Linked DNA regions of Coturnix japonica. The protein of the gene in region 2 interacts with the protein of the main gene of each other region in a pairwise test. Links are inferred from orthologs where the notes say so. Each region holds a gene or a part of one and is shown on either strand. Other genes may lie near its edges. The genes, in order: GRAP2 and GAREM1.

Region 1 (2,743 bases), on a different chromosome or scaffold from region 2:
TATCTTCAATTAATTTTGTGCAGCTACATCTTCACTACCACGAGGGCCTTTAAAGTGCCGAGGAAAGGAAAAGGAGGCACTACTTCCAATTTTAAAAGTAACTAGAGAAAAGAACTGACTGAAAGATGATTTGATGCAGTGGGAATAGGGGTGAACATACCATTTTCCTGTTTCAGCCAGACCTGAATATGAAAGAATAATCATTCTTATCCCTCTTCTGCTTTGACAGGTGTTTTTTTTTATCCTCTTTGGTTCCATCTTTGCTTTGGGTTTTCACACTCTCTCATCAAATGTTAACCCCCTGTCTTCCATATTTGACATTAGTTAAAAAGAAGGAGGAAAAAATAAAAAGAGTGAATTAAAACAAAACACTTCAACCTGTAGAGTCACTGATGATACATACCTGTTAGTGAGGTAGCTTGTTCCAAACCAAGCCACATGGACATCACTTTAAAGGCAAGATGCTAATGGCCAGGAACAGAGCCCTTGCATCAGAACAAGGCCACGTCCAGCCCAGGGAGTTGTGTGCTCTGTCTCCATTTCCCGAACTACCCTGGTAGCCAATGGAGATTAGCTCTTAATGTGCCTTTCAAAGATTTCTATTCTATTGAGAGCTTATATGTTAATTATTCTCATTTTACTTTGACCATTAATAATCTGCTTTTGGTGGAGCTCTCTCAAACCCTTGACAGTAGGTCCTTTCTGCTAATACCCTGTCTAGGTAGCAGCTTAATTTAGGCCAGTAACATTGAATTGGGCTGCACCAGAAACCTGTTTCCTGGATCTTTTTTTTTTTTTTTTTTTTTTTTTTTCCTCCCTCTGGGACTAACAAAAGATAAGAACATTTTTCTTGCCGAGCCTAATTTGTTTTTAGAATTTTTCACTTGCCTTTTCTTTCTTTCCCAAGAATGATAAATCACCACTTCCTTGCTGACTGCTGAGGTCCCACATGTTGTGAAAAAATCAGGCAGCTTGTTTAATATAAACTTGTGTGAGCAGTGGTTATGCAGCAGTGCCTCTTTTGGATCATTTTTAATATTCATTTGCAGTATATTTGTATCACGTCTTGGCATTCACTCAGCCACGATTTGAAATCCTATTCATTTACCTTATTTCATGTGAAAGAAACTGGAACAGACTATTCAATGGCCGCAACTTTATTCCCTGCATACTGTAAAGTAACAGCTCAGTGATTCGCATGAGGCAAGTCAGAGCTGTGTATGCAGTGATCCAAAACACCCCACCTTCGCAGGGACAAAAATTCTGGCACCAAACCAGAAAAATCTCTTCTTCCCAGCCCCTCCCCAGTTCAGTTGTAAAAAGGAACCAGTAAGGCTCGCCCACTGTTATCCAATCCAGATGATATTCATTTAGCTGAAGGGCTTGATCTGCTCTAACCAGGACATCTACAAAGATGCACAGGTGCCTTGGAAAGCAGCTTGAAAATGAGACAAATTGTTGCTATAGGGTGCAGATGGAAGTACAGGAGAGCAGGGCTGTCTGTAGAAGCACTGAAATTAGCTTCTTACCCTCCCATATCTTCACCACCAGGTTGTTTGTACATAAACTTAGAGGATTTCAGCCTTTCACCTGGTATCCACACAGCCGAAGTCCACAGAAAGTGCTAGAGGTGCAAGCCAAAAACTATTTATAAAAGTCATGGTTGCCTTGCACCTCAGCTTAAGGGCTTTTCATCCCTGCCTAAAGGAAATGGGATTATCAGTCATCATTTTATTCACCTGGGCACTTGTCCTTCCTCTGAAAGAGGTGAAACAGAGCCTGAAGGGACTATGAATGCAACCAGATTAAAAAAAAAAAAAAAAGAAAGAAAAAAAAGGGGGTAGGTTCTACCCAGATATTGAAGCCTGACTTCTCTGAGTTGAATTTCCACAGAACAAGCTTAACTGCAGCAAGTTATCAATACTTAGCCAAAGGAATGATGGGGCAGGGAGGATCCAGCAAGATTTCAATTAACAGGCCAGCATTCTTGCTCCCCTCCCAGTCATGAATATGCAAAACAGGGGGGAAAATCCTTCAGAGGGTTCTCTTTCTCACCAGCATCTCAGAAGATCAATTGCCAATAAATTAAGACAAAACCAAAACCACCAAATGCCCTGGGAACATGGGAAGATACACTGCTTCTCTGTCCCTGTCATGTCAGACGAGCAGCTCTGATATGGACCTCTGGGGCACAAATGCAGCCTCACAGTAGCACCGGTGTGACATAGTTGGCAGGGAAGAGACCCAGTTCCCCACGCAGACGTCCTTTCCACCATGATGGATTGGAGCTGTCGAGGACTTCCACGATGTCTCCACTGCGGAAGCCCAGCTCATCGTGCTCCATAGCATCGAAGTCATACAAGGCACGGACCCACAGTATACGCTGGGAAGGAGAAAGAGATGAGCAGGAAACAACGAATTACATGCTTGATCCGGACTCTTCAATGAGCTCAGGCCTTCTTACAATGCCCCAGATACCTACTGTGGTGAGCTGATGCTAAGTTCCTTCTTCTAATAATTCCATTAACTAAGAATGATTTTGAGTATACTCATATATATATGCTAATGTTACTCTCCAGTCCTACCTTCAAAGTGCCACAGAATGAGATTCAAGTGGCCACAATAGAGCCTTGAGACTCAGAAGTGTCTTCTCCAATACACCCCAACATGTTCAATACACTGTTTCTCTTGCAATATCTGTACAGGTGTGGCATTGCTAAGGGACCCGTTAAGTTGGGTAGGT
Region 2 (4,069 bases):
CTTCCTTCTTGCAGAGGATCAAATTTAGTGCACATCAATATTTCATAACTTCATCCTGTCAAGAAATCAAACTGAACTACTTAAGGGCACTCTTCCAGGAGACGCACATCTTAACTCCATGCATGAAACCACATTCATCACAGCCCTTCTCCCCCTTCCAACTGCAAGGCCTGAAGGTGAGGCAGCAGTGAAAAACTTGAGATCTTGTATATGTGTGTGTATAACCTAAGAGCATTACCCACTAGCTCAGGCTGCCCAGGACCCTATCCAATCTGGAATTTCCTCTTAACACCTAATGTAACTCTCCTCTCTTTCAGTTCAAAACTGTCTCCCCTTGTCCTATCAAAGCCAGAAGGTGCCTGAAGACAGATATCAACCACCACGTGCAGTGCACTCAGCTCCCACCACCCCCAACAGGAGTTCAGCTCTTCAGGAACAGGACAGGCCACTTCCGCGCCAGTACTGCTCTGATATGCTGGTGACTACCTGCAAGCTGTACCATCAGCAGTGTGGAGATGAGAACTCTATACCTATCTGCCTGTAGCATAGGATTACACACATCTGGAACAGATTTTGCACTTCCTTCACTACCACATGAAGAAATTCTGACAGAGCTCTACTTGGCAGCTTTGCGGGATGAAGACAGGCACACAGGGTGAGCTCCCAGGACAGGAGTTGCTCCAGTCATCTGTCAACACACTATGTTCCCAGCTTGGACACCATGCACTGATTCATGCCTGCTTCCTCTTGTTGCAAGACAGCTTCCCTTGAAGACAGGAAAAGCGTCCTCTTGGTACCACTGAGACCACAGCGTCTGAGCTCTTTATAAAATATTGATCTGTCTGCCATCTGCAGTCCCTTAAGTTAAAAGGTGCATCTGTACAAGGAGGGAAAGCAGGCCTGAGAGCCTTTGTCTGCTCCATGCAGCTGCCTCTGTCTGGGCACTCCAGGACATGGTCTCACAGAGCGCATGACTGCCCACATCCACCTACACAGTGATGTGCTTCAGGTGCACACGGGTGATGAGCAGCCCTTACACAAAAGCAGCAGCACTTGTGTCTCTGGGACATCCTTCTCACCAGGTCTGGCACAAGACACCCCCAGAAACACATCCAAAAAAGGGGTGGAGGGGAAAAGATTGCTCACCTCCCAACATCCACAGAGAACTCCCAGCTCCCTCCAGAGGGAGCGATTCACGAGGCAGCAGACAGGCTGAGAAGGAGCCTGACACAGGGAGAAGGAAATCAGTAAGTCATCAATACATGTGCCCTGTTAGAGCCTGAACCACTGCCAGGAATCGCGAGTGAATTGATAGCCTTAAGTGCAGTGACTGGAGGCCATCTTGGCTGCTTCAGGGACAGAAGGTAGTACCACAGGAGGAACTCCTTCACACAGCAGCTTTGCCACTATTGCAGGACAACACAGGTTTGGCAGCACGAAGCACAGCCAGCTGCGGCTAAAATGGCAGAGCAGCCTTCTCCAGCCTGCTCCCGCACGGCAGCTCTGGGCTAAGGCTGGGAAGCGTGCCTCAAACCAAGGGACAAAGTCAAAAAGCACTGGCTGAGATTGCTGCAGGGTTATGGGAACTGCAGTTAAGCAGTAACCCAGCCCCGGTCCTGCCTAGCACACGGGGAGCTGCAGCATGCAGTGCCCACGCTCCTATTTCACTTTTCAAAGCAGCAGAAAACTTCGTGAGAGCTCCGATCAGTTCCATCGAGCAACTGCAAGGCCACTTCATAGGCTAACAAAGCACAGAGCCCTGACACGTTTAATTCTGAGTTACCCTCTGCATTCCTTCAGCGATGGGAAAGCAGGACGGTGTCAGGGAGACACGATGCAACGCTATAGCGAAGCAGCAGTACGAGCCTACGGAGAAGCCCCAGCGCTGCCCATCCACTGAGCGCTGCCTCCTCAGTGGGCACCGCCGCCGCCCAGCGCTGCTCCTCATCCCCCGGACGGGAGGCACACGCACAGCGGTTCGTGCAGGTGGGCGCCCAAGGGAACAGCTGTAAGAAGTTGTCAGGGAGCCGTGCAGGCTCCTCAAGTCACCCCTGGTTCTCACAGCTCCGCCGCTTTCCCAACAAGCGGTGACAGGAGACGCGCCCGACTCTGCCGTGCGATATTCCCCCTCCCTCGGCCCTGCTGCAGCATCGCGCCACCGCACCGGCTCTCTCGCACCTCGCGCCTCTCTAACTTGGTTTGGCAGCGAGCAGCCCCCGCACCCCGGCACTTTTCGCACAGCCGTGTGCCCGAGCCCCGCGGCACTGCCGAGACCGAAGCCCCGGGGCCCCGCGGCCGCCCCCGGTGCGGCTGAAAGCGGCCCGACCCCCGCGCGGCCCCGCCGCCCGCCCCACGCACCGCTGTCCAGCCGGGCGATCTGCGGGAGGCGGTAGGTGCTGACGAGCAGGTCCAGGGGGACGGCCACCGCGCTCCACTTCACGTCCTTCAGGCTGAAGCCCAGCGAGGAGCCGGGGTCCATCTTCCCGCCTGGCCCGAACAGGGCAGCGGCGCGGAGGGGAGGGAACCGGGCGGGCACAGCCGGCGGGGTCGCTCCCACCCGGCAGGACGGCGGCGGAAGGGAGAGAAGCGGGGAGAGAAGCGGGGAAGGCAGCTCGCCGCGCTCAGCGCCGGCTACGGCCGCGGGACATGCCGGGCTAGGCAGAGGGGGAGGCCCGCCGAGCGGCCGCCGCTGCTCCCGCCGCCCCCCGGCATCGGCTGGGGCCGCCAGCCGCCGCGCCTGGCCCAGGAAGCGCCATCCCAGCACTGACTAATCAACAGGGTGCGAGCAACGCCTGCGCAGCTGCCGCTCCTCCCCGCTCCGAAAAGGAAAGTGCCGGGCTGCCCGCCCGCCGGGGTGTGCCGCCGCCCGGCCCGGCCCTCTCACTCCACCCTCCGACCGCTCGGCCGACGTGCAGGGGAGGGGCGGCAGGTGGGCACCTGGAGCTGCCCACAGCGTGTGGACGTGACACTGAGAGCCGTGGTTAGGGGGCATGGTGGGGATGACAGTTGGTCTAGCTGATATTAGTCGTCTATTCCAATGTTAATGATGCTACAGAGTCTTATGTGATCTCCACAAGGTCAAACTGGGCATTAGGAAAAGGTTCTTCACCAGAGAGTGGTCAAGCACTGGAACAGGCTCCTCAGGGTCATGGCACTGAGCTGCCAGAGTTCAAGGAGTGTTGGACAACACACTCAGTCAAAGGGTTGAAATTTAGGGGGTTCTGTGTGGAACCAGGGGTTGGACTTGGTGATCCATATGGATCCCTCCCAATTCTGGATATTTTTTGATAAAATGTTTTCCTACCCCCCACAGCTTCTTATCTGCCTGCAGCCCCCCCACCCCTTCCTCCTCCTGCCCTGTATCAGGCCCAGCCATAACTGCGTGCTATGTGGCTGCTGCCAGCAGCACCACGAAAACAAGGAAGGCTAAGACAGATATGCTCTTGTTCTGCTTGGCTGCAGACAGACTGTCCATACTCTGAGATGAAATGACAACTATGGAAGCCAGAGGGGGTAACACAAACCCAAGTTAACTTGCTTTAAAGGGGTCTGGGTAAGGGTTTCTCACCCCTATGAAAGTCCTTCATTCTCTGAACTCGGTCCTGGTGCTGTTAGATTCCACTTACCGGAATTGCTAGCTTCACAAATATGAGACACTGGATTTTTTTTTTCCAGAGTTGCTTCCTTTTTATGAAGTTTGCAGAATGCTTTGAACTACTTCAGTGAATTGGGCTATTGAAGTGCAAAGTGATATAATAGCTAAAAGCATTGCTGTTGAAATATGGAAAGCCAAAGTACGGTTTTAACTTGTTTAGCTTTGCCAAGGTTTTTATGCGTAAGGTGAAACAGATCAGGTCAGACTGGGATTCACTAGGACCAGGAGCACGGGTCTGTCAAGAAGTGGCTTTAAAAGCGATCCCAACCCATGTTAATTTCAGGACAGACACAGCCTCACCTCACAGGCTTCTCTCAGGCATCACACAGCACTTGTGCCTGGGCAGAAACATTTCTCCCACAGAATCATAGAGGTTGGAAGAGACCTCTGGGGATCATTGAGTCCAACCTCCCA

The links.
Region 1: the proteins of GAREM1 (region 2) and GRAP2 interact in binary tests that used the Homo sapiens proteins (3 or more experiments, as listed by UniProt). The link is inferred for Coturnix japonica from reciprocal best matches to the Homo sapiens genes GAREM1 and GRAP2.

Annotation. Positions count from the first base shown.
Region 1 is NC_029516.1:45,877,485-45,880,227, forward strand, and holds the end of GRAP2 (GRB2-related adapter protein 2), read right to left. Parts: intron 2,384-2,743; coding exon 2,204-2,383; 3' UTR 786-2,203; downstream 1-785. UniProt on the Homo sapiens protein: Interacts with SLP-76 to regulate NF-AT activation. Binds to tyrosine-phosphorylated shc.
Region 2 is NC_029517.1:96,227,852-96,231,920, forward strand, and holds the start of GAREM1 (GRB2-associated and regulator of MAPK protein 1), read right to left. Parts: upstream 2,801-4,069; 5' UTR 2,480-2,800; coding exon 2,359-2,479; intron 1-2,358.